Linked DNA regions of Lepisosteus oculatus. The main gene of each other region encodes a partner of the protein of the gene in region 2 in a complex. Links are inferred from orthologs where the notes say so. Each region holds a gene or a part of one and is shown on either strand. Other genes may lie near its edges.

Region 1 (7,193 bases), on a different chromosome or scaffold from region 2:
TGAAGTATCTCTTCCAAAGGAAAAAAAAATGAGGTTATCCTCGAGAGGTGTTAAGACTGTATCGGATAATTTCGACAAATTCCTATTTTTACAAGTAAGCAATTGCGATACTGCCTTTACAGCACGCCAAGAGAAAAACGGAACTTTATGAAACGCTATTTAAAGTATTCTACATACACAAGATCGTAATGGATGCATTGTTGTATAGTTTTGCGAAAATCACAGAAAAAAGGAGTCGACTGTGAACGAAAAAGGGGGCAGAGCACGTGAAACCTTAAAGGTTAACACCTTCCTGAATGAGGGCTGAAATCCTTTTCACATACATCAAAGAGAGGTGTTCACATCTCTAAGGACCTTACATGGACACTGAACACCTCCAGTCTCATCAAGAAGGCACAACAGCGGCTGTACATCCACAGATCCTCACCAACTTCTACAGATGTACGGTGGAGAGCATACTGACCAGCTGCATCACAGTCTGGTACGGCAACTGCACCGCATCCGACCGTAAGGCACTACAGCGAGTGGTCAAAACTGCCCAACACATCATCAGCAGTGTCTTACCATTCATCCAGGAAATCTACAACACCAGGAGTCTGTAAAAAGCCACCAAAATTATGCCTGACCCCACTCACCCCAGTCATAACTTGTTTGTTCCCCTACCATCTGGCAGGAGGTTCCGGTCAATCCAGTCGCACACAACTAGACTCCAAAATAGCTTCTTCCCCAGAGCTGTCAAGTTGGTGACGCCCCCACTCCCTCCCACCATATTATGATCTCTCCTAACATCTTCCTGTACCCACAACCACTGTACTCCTACACCACTACACACACATGTAAGCCGAAATTGTACTGTCCCCTCGATAGCCCAGTAAAACTGTACCGGTCATAATAATATTTAATATTTATTAATTAACCATACTATTATTAACCATACTATTTTTGCACTGTTCCAAAAATTACCTTGCACTGTTTTTGTCCTGTTAGATTTTATGTTTGCGGAATTTTGCACAGTTTTGATTACATGTTATTTATGTTATGTTATTACATGTTACTGTTATTGCTATTGTGTAACTGTCTATTGTCTTATCTTCTGTCCTATTTATATACTGCACCTGAGTGACTAATGAGAAACACTTTTCATTATACTATGCACCTGTGTAAGTTTAATGACAAAGTTTAATTGAAGAGAAACATTTTTGAGCACGCAGAAACGTTCGCAGTATGTAGGAAGGTTCTGCACTCTGGTTTCGGAGTTGACATTCAGAATCCACAGCACCGCCGTGAACTCCGCAATCTGGGCACAAAACCACCTGCAGGCCGCCTTTCCCACACACTCCCCAGAAACTCAACCGGAACAATCTGGAAAATCACTCCAACTGATCACCATCATCAACCCAGAGAGATCACCCTAATAGAAAAGGGGCGAATACAGCAAAGCGCGCAGGTAAACAAAAACTTAAGGGAAGTCAGAAAAACGTAAAATCAATGGTTATTTAATCCTTCAAGGGGTGCTAAAATGATGCAGCGAACGTATCTGAACTATTGGAAAACATAAAAAGGGTCTGCAAGTCTTTTTCCCCCCACAGTGTACCTGCAGATTTGCTTTTACTCCTCGACAGAGAGAGAGCTGCCGCTAAAAAAAAAAAGCGCTCCCAGACGTCAAAGATGTACAGCAAAGAATCAAATCAAACGCAAGGACGAATGCCTGCCCTCTGGGTCATCCGATCTCTCCCCGAAGACAGCGAGATGTGTTCCCGGGTCTTTGTGCGTCCAAGAGCATCCCCGAAGCGTCTCGTGCCGGAGCGGGGACCCCTGCGCTCACACCCAGGCTGGGCGAGATGATCAAAGCCCTTTCCTCTTCGCGATTTCTTTTTTTTTTTCCCCAATTCCAAGTGCCCGGGTTTTGTTTTGTTTTTTAACGATCTTAAACGGCATCGAATTGCACGGACGGCGGCTCCGTGTCCCTTTCACGCGAAGTCCACGAGCGCTTGGAAGCGCGTCCGAGCCCACTCGAGCTCCGGGAAACAGGGCGAGTTCGCCCGGATCCCGACCGGGTAATGACGTCAAGGCACCAAGACGACAATGGAAACGTTCAGACATCGCTTCTGACAGGTCCATACTACACTAAACTAAATCTACAGAGCATTCATAGGAGTCTTCATTTGCTTGTCTGCATTGTCACCCCACCCCACACACACACTTTTTGAAAATGTTCTGAAAGATTTTAATGAGCCGAGAAACTCGTGTGTCAATCCAAATGAAGAATCACCCTTAACCCTTTTACAGTTAGAATGAACTTTTCATCAGCTTGGCTAACAAAATCTAGCTAATCACACATTTGAATACCACAGAACTACCGAAAAAAACATCACCCAAAGACTCAATTCCAGTTTTCAAACGAGGAAAAAGGGGGTGACAACGTTTCGGGCTGTCGTCTAATACAGACCCCAGCACGCTAAATACAGCAAACTAAACCTTTAACGGCAACACATTTCAACATCTGACAACTTCACATAATAACACACGACCGCTGCCCCTGTACCAATACACCAATTTTAAAAGCAGCATGTCGGCTGGCGAACGGCACTTCAAAACAAACGGATGACACGGGTTTAAAACGCAGTTACTGGCAAACCTGAGAATAAAGGTACGAGCTCTCGTTTCAGAGAGAGACAAGCGAAAAACACACATTTATTAACAGGGGTTAAATCTAAAAGCCAACTAAAAAGCAGAATCCACCAAAAAAAAAACAAAGCCACTCACGTTAAACAAAAAAAGAGAGAGAAAAGTTTTCCGCGTCTCCACCGGCCGCCCGTCCGCGGCTCTTCAGCTCCGACACTGGGAAGAGCGAAACTTCTGCCGCCGCGCAGCTCGCGCGCACCGCTGCCTGGATTGATCTCGCGTCCCTGGCGTCAGCGAGTCGAGGACCACCGCACCCTCCGCGCCGCGCTCTGTATCATGCCGCGGGGCTGCGCGGCTAGGGGCCGTCTCAAAATAACCCGCCCCGCTCACCGGGGAAAATTGAGTCCTCTCTACTCCCCCCGTGCCTTCCGTGTGTCAAATAAGAAGAGGATCTCGGTTGCTGTGCAATACTGGGAGACGCGGTTGGTTGTGCTTCGCAGCTGGCTTTTTATTAACTGGACGGGGTACTCGCCGCCCTGACATTTGGTGATTTGAGGAGGACGCTTGGCTGTCAAGTGAGAATCTCTTGCCAGTTAAAAAATGTCCGATTGCGCCGACCTTTTCAACAGAAGTTAGAAAACGTCCTGTAGCTACTAGTGCATATTTTCACAAGAGCATTATACTGTGAACTGGTATCCTATACCGTACAGTGCTACATAGAACACTTTTGCCTGGTTAGAAGCTACTTTATGCATGTAATACAAGCAGAATCGCCGACAGACACGTCTTAATTCATCCTGGAATTATTCGTTTAAAAAAATAATCTTACACTCTGTCCGTCACGCATGTATTGTTGGACAGGGCGCAACATTCGGGCTTCAATACCAATGTTCCTTTCAGCGTGAAACACATCTGGTCTGGTCTTGGGGAAGAAAAAGTCGGTAGTGCTGACTGGTGTGTTATTTGAGCAAGATGTACAGTACATCTCTCAAGAGGCAGAAGACACAGCAGAGGCCTACTATAGTGCCAAGGTGAACGTCTCCAGCCACAGCCTGTCAGCCCCAAAATCAAAGGAAGTTTTAAGTGGGAATGACAGTTCAACCATTTGCATTTGAAGCACCTCTTAGAAATGTTTTAGGAATAGCTCTCTTTAAAACTGGTTAAAATCAGTCAGATAAAACCACTGACCTGCCAACCTGGGCTAACTATTAAAGAGCTGTTTGAATGCATCGGGAATTTTGTGTGTGCTAATTGAAGATACTCCGGATCATAGTGTAGCTCCTGCCCTCTGTGAAGAGAACTGGCTCGCACGGAAATGACTGGATTTTAAAGGCTCTCCTGCTCACACGTGAAGCCCTGCGTGTTTCAATTGAGCGTAATCTGAAATCTTAATCTGAGATTTTACTTAATTGTTGAAGAGGAACATGTTCCAAATCAATCTGTGCTCGTTTCTCCATTCTTTCATTTTACCTCTGATCTCTGTATTACATGGGTAATATTGCACAGAACATTGAATTAAAAACAAATTGTGTTCTTCACGCCTGCAGCGTTAGGAGCATTAGGACATCTGCAAACAAGAGAGGTCATCCAGGCCATTTAGTAGTTGGTAGCTAGTTGATCCAGTTATCTCATCCTGCTGTTTCTTGAGTTTGTGTCTCAGCCCCTGTCTAGGATTCCTCTTCCACCTTTTAACAACTCTTTGTGTAAGGAAGTGTTTACTGTTTCTCAGTCCACCCTAAATGAATTTAGCCTTTTAGCCTCTGATTTTGTATCCATGTCCTTGTTTCACAACTGAACTAAGTAAAAGTAGCCCCCTGAGTTTAACCTATCTCTGCCCTTTAGGCATTTACATGTAAAATAAAATGTACTTTTAATATTTGATACAATGACTGCTACAATCACGTCTACTATTAATGATATCAATGACATCAAATCGAAGCACTGCTCAATGATGCAGTTACTGATAGCTCTCTCACTGTAACTTTTGTGGAGACAGAACACTAATGACCCATTGCAATTAAACTTTTGATCGTATTTTGCTTCATGAACACAGTATATTATCAGATAACGATGTTAAGTAGTTATTATAGATAAGTAACGTACAAACTCCACATAGACAGCACCCCAGGCTGAGAATTGATCCCTGGGCCCCGGCACTGTGAGGCACTGTGAGGCACTGTGAGGCAGCAGCACTAGCCACTGCTCCACCATGCCGCCCACGGGCAGATCATGTTCTGTGTAATTGAGACTGCTGTGGGAATGACTGGCACTTCCAGAGTTTTCTGTGCTCCGAGGTGTGTATTGCTCGCTGAAGTGTTGCATTACTAGAAGATATTTTGAGACATTTCGGAAAAGCAATGTCATTTCCAATGCTGGGCCAATGCCATGTGGCATTCCCAGAAGCTGCAGATCGTAGGCTGGGGTCAGGGAGGTCTCTGACTGCTATGATAAGGCAAGAATAGGAGCTGTGGTAAGGAAACGAGAGCAGACAGAGGGGGAGAAAAGCTGCAGCAGAAAGTTTCCCAGGCAAGAGGAGAAAGGCAACAGTAGCCTCACAGGGATTTGTAGTGGACCTCAGACAGCCTACCCACAGTTCAACAGTGACACCAGACTCAATCTTCGGTTGATAAAGGGTTTAATACTGCTGGTACTGAAGGAGAACCTCTTGAGAACACCATCTGATTCCCTATCTGAAGCACTCTTTCAATGCCTCGGTGGTAGGGATTGTTATGGCTGTAGCTTTCTTTAGTAAGATACTCTATAAGCTTCTTTAAAGCCGAGTGGGACAAGAAGCAGCTACAACCACAGAGAACAGTTAGCAAGACAGCCAAAGGCTGTGCAGCATCATCCCTGGGCTGCTGTCTTGGTTTTCCACAACATCTTGCCCAGTGTTTGTGTGTCAGAAGGGCCCGAGCTCATACATGACCTGCATAGTGTCGCTGTAAAATGGAGGGATTTTAATGTTGTGATGCAGGCCATCCAAGAAAGCAGAGATGCCATAATGGCAGATGGCAAAGGTTTGAGTGCACTCATGAGTGTTAATTTCTGACACCACAGCAAGGTGAAAACCCAGAACTCTCAATGCCCACTAAAGAAATTAATGAAGCTGTCAGCTCACCGAAATCTTCTGCAGGCTTTCACACCCACATGTTTAAAGCTGACAGAACGTGAACTTTGACCACTTTGACCATGAGATCAAGCAGGACAGTATAGGTATCCGAGTTCCTCTCTGCAAATTAAGTTCCCTGCTCAGCCACTAGCACAACCACGACGCTTGTAACAAGCAGTCTGTTTAGCCTGAGTATTGTACCGTGGTATTTCAAGTAATAATAAAATTTAACTTTATATAGCGCCTTCGCAGTAGGTGCAAAAAACGTTTTAAGGATAGCAAATCACAAAATAAGTACGTAAAAGAAAAAGTTTAGAAGTGCATCAGAAGTTAGAAAATGGAGAAGACACAGACACTAATTAAGTTAAAGTCTTTCTGAAAAGAAACGTTTGGAGTCTGGACTGAGACGCACTCAGGGCAGGTGACTCTGATATCCTTGGGGATAGAATTCCAGAGGTTTGGGGAGCAGATTGGAATGTAGTACAATATAAGTATGACAGGGGAAAACCATGTCAATTTTAAGAAGAGAGGAATAGCCCCAAAGGTTGGTTTCTTCTTCCCAACCACACAGCTGTGCACCAGTCCTGCCTCAGCCAAGCCTCCATTCATCAAGCTAAAAGCTGAATCCCCCTTCCACCAGCCGGACCCAGCCGTGAACGCTAGCTTTTTCGTCATCTGAAGACTCGACGTCTGCTGTGTGGTCTGCAGAGGATGAGTGGTGCCCACTGTGGTCTGCTTGAGGGGGGATCCTGAAGAGAGCTGCTTTGCTAGCAGAGCGCTCGTTTGAAGGAGAAGTGGACTGAAGTCACATGTAGCTTTATTTAAAAGGTGATGTAGACTCTGTGTGGTCAGTACCATTTGAAATATCTTGTTCTACTCATTATTTGATCTCCCTAAGACACCGAAATGTGATGTAAAGATTAGTCTCATTTTTAACTCGGCATTAAAACTTCTGTTGCATTAGTTTGGAGGTGCTGCTGTCTCTGTTATCAGTGTACAGTATATGTGTTGTACGTACAGTACAGCTGCAAACGTTTGGCTACCAGGTGTGCTGGCTAGAGAAGAAAACCTCATCTAATGTCTGAAAAAACAAGAGCATTGAGCGTCCTTAAATCCAAAGGGTTTTGAGATGGAAATTGAAAACGTTTTTTACAAAGCAAATTAGACACAACTTTCCCTTCTGGAAATGTTGGATATTAAAAACCGTTTTAGCTGTGTTCCGCAGAATTACAGTTGTATTCAAATCCAAAGGGGCAGTGAAAACAAAACCATTTCACAACATTACAAATGAAAACGGTATTGTTGTCATTAAGGAATAAAAGAAACGTGCAGGTCTACTTCGCTTAAGAGACCGATGTTCGACGTATAGTATTATGCACTATCGGGCTGTCGTGATGCCCGAAGACGTCTCGCTATGTCCGAATACTCGAAAGAAGAGCTACGTTACAGTATAAGCTAA
Region 2 (7,111 bases):
AATTTCCGCTGCGATTACAGTGCATTTTTCCCAAGCTCTACTAAAAGATCAACCTTCAGCAAACCTTTTTTTGAAAAGTACCCACAGATTAAAAGCTCGCAACTTTTCTTTGTGAATAAAAGTGCTATCAAACGACAACACTCTATCTAGATCTAGTTGGGGGTGGGGAGCCCTGCCTGTACAAACAGGAAGTGACCGTGGCGCCGGGCTTGACAAGGAGTGGGCTGCACTGATTCAAGGTGGATAGCCGATTTATGAAATGGCCGCACCTTGAAGGAAACCAAACCGAACGGGGGCCCCTGGGGTGCGGTGGAGTGGACTGGACTGGAGAAGCATCAGGAGCTGTGGCGACACTCACTTGAGGAAGTATCTCTGCCCAGAGGGGGTCTTGGCCATCTCCCAGCCCGGGGGCAGAGGCACATCGTCGGGGATCTCGTAGGAGGCCTGGCGGAGGTGCTGCGGGGGCGCCCCGGGCGGGATCACCCCTGCCAGGGAGCCGGGAGACACGGCGTTCAGCAGCGAGGCGGGCGAGGAGTGCGCTCGGACGTGCTGCGGTGCCAACGTCCCAGCTGTGCCTGCGTCCGTGCTGGCCTGGACAGGAAGGAGAAGCACAGGGGAAGGGATGAATGACAGTTTGGGAGGGGAGGGAGGCAAGGGATAATTGCAACTTTCAACACCTCATTCCCATTTCACAGAACTGAATTAAATTTCATCATTTTGGGGTTGGCAAGACGCGTTAACACTTGCAAGCTTTAAAAGCTGGGAGCAGGTCATTATACCACGACCTTGGTCATAATTCCAGTGGAATACAGGTTCACAAATGACCTATTACACAAGTACTTTTAAGATGTACTCGCACACACGAATTGCATTTCACTTTAAATGTGAGAGAAACCGAATATCACATGAACTCCCGATTCCTGTCTGATTATGTAGTCAAGGTTTCCCCATTAACAACTCAAACAGATCAGATTTTTGTATACAAGGTTTCCCCATTGTGAAAGCCAACCTTCCACGACACGGAAAGCAAGAATGAACTTGTGAAGAACTTTGCAAGCAGTGGGTGATGTGGATACAGAAAGTTGTGGCCCAAGGCTGTGTGCACTGTTCCACCATTCCCTTCAAATCAGTGACTCACACTGAAGAGTCAGGGCAGCGCACTTGACAAGACTGCGAGATCCCAGTGTATATCAAACCAGTAGTGTCGAAGCATTAAAATAAAGAAACTGACTCAGCGGGGAGTCGCGAAGATTAAACAAGGTGTGATTCTAAGGGGCAATTCATACGAAATGCGTCAGTAACACTTTTTTTTTTAAACACGAAAACCTAGCAGCTACCGTTATTTACAAAGCTTTAATTTAAAAAAAACTGAGACCTAAAGGTTATTTTTTAAGCTTGTGGCATGAAAGAGCATTTCAGACACCGTTGTCTTTAAACGTACAACAGACGAGTATCCCCTTACTCAATCTCTTAGGAGCCTACAGGAATATACCCCCCCCCCCAGAGAGCTCAGTCAGAGCAGAAATAGAGGCCTTCCTTGATTTATGCGCTTTAATCTTCCCCGGGTTGTGTGTGCGAGCACCACACACACCGAAGCCCGGCTTGGATGATGTATTCCAAACCTTTAGGCGAAGTCAAAATACGGCCCACGACTTGTTATGACAGTCTGTTTTCCATTAAAGTTAAAAGGTAGGCTCTCTCTTACTCGACATGATCCGGTACAAATCAAAGCTGCCCGAAGTCAGCCCCATTTGTTATCCCAAAATATTTGTTTTTAATAATATTTTTACTTGAAAGATGTTTTTTTTGTTGTTGTTTTTAAAAATACCAGCTCTAACAATTTCTGCTTGTGAAATGGATTACATTTATCAGGGTTTTCTCCACCCACCCCACTCCCGGCAATCCTCCTTCTTGCAGGAGTGAAAATTATTACGTGGGTACCAACTTGTACGTAGCGAGCCATCCGAGCTACAAATATCGGATACGCACCACGTATTAGGAGGTCGGCATGCTTAAATAAAACCGAGGCGCTGCCCGGACTCTGCAGAAAAAAACAAACAAGCCCTAAGCATGGCGACCTCTGCTCACAAACTACATAACGCATCAGGAATTTGTTAAAATATATAAAGAAAAAAACTCCCATCCGCTTCTGGTCCAGATAAAAAGCCTTTGAAATGCCAGCACACTTCAGCCTGAACTTTTGGACTACAAGGAAAGAGAGGGGGGCAGGGAGACGGAGGGGGGTTGGTGGGGGAAGAGAGGGAAATCTTACTTGTCTAGAGTGCGACTTTGGCTCGGGCTGTTTGAAGAAGGAGTCGGGAAGTTTCCTCAGCCTCATGGGGACTGACGGGGGCACGTTGGCACTTTTCGGGTTCATGACGGCGTTGAACAGCGCTTCCAGGTCCGTCTCCGAGTCGCCCCGAACATGGACGATCGGCTGGCCGGCGGGGGGGTTGTGCTGGCTTGGATCCATCCTTCCCAAACACAACAACAACTAACAACAACAAAAAAAAAAACCTTAGGTGCCCGAAGTGGGGTAACCCCCCAAAAAAAGAAAAGAAATCAATCCAAAAACATGGAAAGCCCAAGTGTTGCAATGAGTACCCGGATCATATAGACTCTGCAAAGCTTATTCCAAAAAGCTATTCCAATTCCTCCGTTGTATTTTATTCTTGTATTCTCGCGTGTTATTTAATGTTTCTTTTTCTCCCGAATAAGTTCTTTTTGTTTCACTTTGCAGCCGAGAAAGGACGCCGAGTAAAGTCACAACGACGTCCAGCCAGTTTCCAGTCCAAGGCAGCCGTTACAGTCGGGTCGGCTTATAAATGTAAAACTTGTTGATCGTCAATAATCTAAAACATACCTCAACACCGACTGCCTCCTGTAAACAAAAGTTACAGACCGTTTTACTTAGGTTACTTCTAAATCTCAGAGGGTTGGTTTATATTTCCCCCAGCGAAAACGAACCGCCGAGCCGCTCATCGCAAATCACTGCCTTTCCAAAACTACTAAGTTTTCCTAAACTTCGTCCGAAACTTTGGCTGGGACATCAAACTTTTATGACTCATGTGATCGCTGAGTCAGAAGCAGGCGGAGCTTGGCATCATTAATCAGGGAGAGTGGGGAGTTTAAAGACGCAACATCCCTTTTTATGTGGGATAACTTTCTCCCTAGGTAAAACCTGAATCCAGGGGCGCTTAGAAAATAGCATCTTCGACACGCAATAAATATTGAATCCTTAATTGTTTTTTTTTCTCATTTCGGAATATTAGTACGAATAACACTACTTCTACATATTTTATTTACTGTACAAAGTTGGTTCATTTAATTTGAGTACCTTTTAGAAAATGTAGACTTAGAATGTAGATTTTGTCAACTAAAAAACCTAAGGTGAATTAATAAACATTTAATTACATGTTAAATTCCCAGTCTATCTCGATGCTGTTGACTCCTACTGTTCTACCAGTGACACGATTGCCAGCATAAATTATGATGATAATAATAACTAAATGCCAATTGATACTTTGTTTTAGGACACAATTCTGTTGTTGCTCTCTAGTTCTACATTCTTAAAATTAATTTAACTTAAAATTAATTTAACTGTCCTTTTCCGCTGTACAATTCTCAATATATTCTCTAAACAACTATCTAAATATTCTGTTTTTTTTAAAGGCTTTAAAGTATGTGAAGAAAACGGTAAATTGTATCCTGATTTTGAAGAGAATAAATATATTTCTCTAGAGAATGGTTCTCAGTAAATATTAATCCAATTTATCTCACATTAAAACAGAACCGTGATTGTAAAATATAGGCTCTTTATTAAGAAATAATGTTTTTCCTCTACAGTGCCAATGAAAGCCATTTCTACAAGGTTCCCATAATTGTTATGCAAATCATCCTCTTCATTCTATTGAGAAATCATTTTGTCAAGAATCCGCCTCAGTGATGTATAGGAACTGTGTTTCTGCCCCTTTCCCATACACCAAGGCACTGAATGATTATGGATCTTTATTAATCCTCTTTCAGAGACTGTAAAACCATGAACAATGGTTTCAAAAGGTTACTTTGCATCTTCCCTTTTAACACAGTCCCAATACTTAAGTTTACATATGCTGTCATTTTAAAATATATACACGTCTGTTATGAGAAACAGCCCACATATCTGAAGTTTAACTTTTTACACATAAAACATATGACAAATTTCTATTTTACGTTCAAATGAAAATTCATGTGGAGGATTCAACACTTGTCTTTACACTGGCAATGTTGTTGTTTTAGAAAATAAAACATTTTTCTCTGAGCTTATATTTGATTTTTGTTGTGTTCAGAGTTTTTGTGGATCCATTAATGTCTTGTTTTTACTTTACCTGCAATACCCTTTTCAAACCATACTGATTGTTTATTAAAAGAGATAAAATTATAGATCATTATTTTGCACTTTGAATTATATTAATCATGTAGGTTATATTTTTCAAAGTGTCCTTTATTTATTTTTAAAACATATGAAAAGGATATTTTCACTATTACAACCTTTTACTGAAGGTCAGTCATTGGGAGGAAACACTTTTCTTTTGGCCGATTGGAAAATGTGTGCTCTTAAATGGTCAGGGATTATGAATGCCATCCGAAAGAGTAATAAAAGGGCCCACATTGTAAACTGGAGGCTTCTGTCTGTAAAAAAAAACAGGTACAGCCATCACAAAGTGTTTTTCCTCATGTGCCTCTGCCCTGCCCTGAAGGGACCACCCACTTAGGGGGCCTGAGGGTAGTTTTAGCTTCCATGCTCTTATGGCCTTTAGCTTCTCATCTCAAATCTTCTTACAATTGTTTTATATTCATGCTGCTTTTGTGAGGAGCAATACTGCTTTATCAAAAGGCAAAAGGCAACAGTTAATCTGTCATGCCATCACGAGCTTGAGCTGAACCTGCAATTCCACTTTTGCTCAAACTGGAGACCACTTTTATTTTACACCCCGTTTGTTTTATGTGAGCAAAGGACCGTTGAGGCATACTTTCTTTTAGTTTACCATTCCATAAAGACTATTGAAGAGACTAAAGTTAAAAATGTTTTATGTTTATTTAATTACTACAGATCTTTCATATTTATGTACTGTATATATTTTAGGTGTCAGTGGGATTCTAGAGGATAGTCGACATTGATTTAATCTTGCTAAACTATCTTGTTTAATGGAACAAGTAATAGGTTTATTCCATGCTGAAAAGAGAAGAAAGAAAACACAACGTTTTGGCCGTGGAGCCTTCTTCAGGTGTGAGCTAACTTATTCAGTTTCTTTAAACAAGCAATAATAGCACAGACTTTTGATAAAGTTCCTCATAATTCTTAAAGGTACTACGCATTCAGAGATAAGGATTCAAACTGATGTGAAGTAATTAGGGGAGTACTACAGCACAAGGCCTGTATTAGGACCTCATTCTGCTTAATTTGTAACATTGATTTAGTTGATGGCACAGTAAGAAAACTAGTCATATTTGACTAGTGTAAACCAATACCAAAACAGGAGGATTAGCAAACGCTGTATAAGATGAAAAACAAATGACAGACAAAAATGAAGACTGGGCAATCACCTGATGACATTTAATGTAGTGAAGTGCAGAGGGATAAACGGAGATAGCAGAAACATTAATTATAAACATAAGTTGGCAAACACTAAGCTTGAAGAAGCTGAAAATGACTTTATAGATATATAACAAAATGTTGTGATATGTAATTTTAATCAAAGGATGCATTGGTAAAACCAGTATACACAGAATATTAAGTACAGCTTTGTGTTCTTGGTCCAGTCTAGGAAACAGTGAACAGATACATTCTAGTCAAAGTCGACCCAACAGACTTCCGTACAGTCAAAAGCAAAATGAACCAGAGGACTAAACACAGTAAAAGCTTAGTTAAGGTCTATACTCAACTAACTCTGTGAACATAGATTTTCATATTGACTTTTCTTAAACACATTCAACAGGTGTCAACAGCTAGTGTACACTGCTGCGCTTTTTTTGAAAGTTAAGAAACTTCTTTACATTAAATATCCCTATCCTCTTGAGCTACGGATATTCTTGTGCCCCTACAGTACTGAAGTAAAATAATGACATTAATACAGAAGTCTAAAGCATATCCGTATTACTGTAATCAAGAAAACAAACCAGAATGTTAATGTTGAACTTTTAAACCCTTTTATTTTGCTTCTTTCTCAGGCACTGAAAATAATCCAACTCCGAAGCAATGGTACAGGACATATACATGGCGCTTGAAAGGGTCAACAATGAAGTAGGCGAAGGTCTGTTCTTCATCTTTGCATGAAGGATAACACAAGCCAGAGTCATCCTGCGGACATTTAAAAGAACACTTGGTAAAATGCTCACTTCATTTTTGTATTTGTTTCCTTTAGGATAAGAGGTCCTGTAAACTTTTAGAAAAAGAAGTTATGAATGAGAAATAATAATATTAAAAAATGGCAATGCATATAAGTAGGAATATGTCTTAGGCAAATGTTTTAGGATATGCTCTTTAAAGAAGTCTTTGGTGCCATTTGTCTTCTTTTTTAGTGTATCCGTAAATATAAAATTATTAAATCCACTTTCAACATCCTAGAAAGACAGAATGTTATGCAATTTATGAATTAACAATAATCTTTCAAAATACTGTATAAATCCATAGCTTTCTGTTAAATGAAAACTGTTACATATAGTCAGAATTTCAGATATTTAGTCTATGTAAAAAGACTATACCACTTTTATACCCCCTTATACAGAAACACCCAGAGTGTTCAACAATACATACAGAAATACAGTATTGTCTCATTCTGTCTCAAATATTTACCAAATTGAAGGAACTTTGTAGTGGAGAATACAATTGGTATAACGTTTTTGGGATCAACTATATTAAGAAAATGGAAGATAATGTCTCTGTGGTTTAAAATTTGTAATTTGTCACTTCACTATTATAAAGTAACAACACCATAAGAAAAAAAAATGTACTTACATAAGCAGAGACTTTCAATACAGTAGAGGTGACAAGGATTTCTTTCATTTCAGGGTCTTTTTGAACACTATGAAAAACATATTTCAGTTTCACAATCAATACATGTAAAGGTAC

The links. The genes of interacting proteins can lie anywhere in the genome.
Region 1: the proteins of yap1 (region 2) and smad1 are in contact, whole or in part, in an NMR structure (PDB 2LAW), measured with the Homo sapiens proteins. The link is inferred for Lepisosteus oculatus from reciprocal best matches to the Homo sapiens genes YAP1 and SMAD1. Residues at the interface, in NP_001123617.1 of Homo sapiens: Glu237, Ala239, Met240, Thr241, Tyr247, Ile249, Asn250, His251, Lys254, Thr255, Thr256, Trp258; in NP_001003688.1 of Homo sapiens: Thr222, Pro223, Pro224, Pro225, Ala226, Tyr227, Leu228, Pro229, Pro230, Glu231, Asp232, Pro233.

What each region holds. Positions count from the first base shown.
Region 1 is NC_090696.1:27,166,622-27,173,814, forward strand, and holds the start of smad1 (mothers against decapentaplegic homolog 1), read right to left. Parts: upstream 3,016-7,193; 5' UTR 2,767-3,015; intron 673-2,766; exon of another isoform or gene 636-672; intron 1-635. UniProt on the Homo sapiens protein: Transcriptional modulator that plays a role in various cellular processes, including embryonic development, cell differentiation, and tissue homeostasis.
Region 2 is NC_090700.1:8,374,453-8,381,563, reverse strand, and holds the start of yap1 (transcriptional coactivator YAP1), read right to left. Parts: upstream 3,064-7,111; 5' UTR 2,864-3,063; exon of another isoform or gene 2,495-2,863; 5' UTR 2,474-2,494; coding exon 2,273-2,473; intron 592-2,272; coding exon 359-591; intron 1-358. Other genes in the region: cfap300 (cilia- and flagella-associated protein 300), read right to left, coding at 6,191-6,340, 6,998-7,064. UniProt on the Homo sapiens protein: Transcriptional regulator with dual roles as a coactivator and corepressor. Critical downstream regulatory target in the Hippo signaling pathway, crucial for organ size control and tumor suppression by restricting proliferation and promoting apoptosis.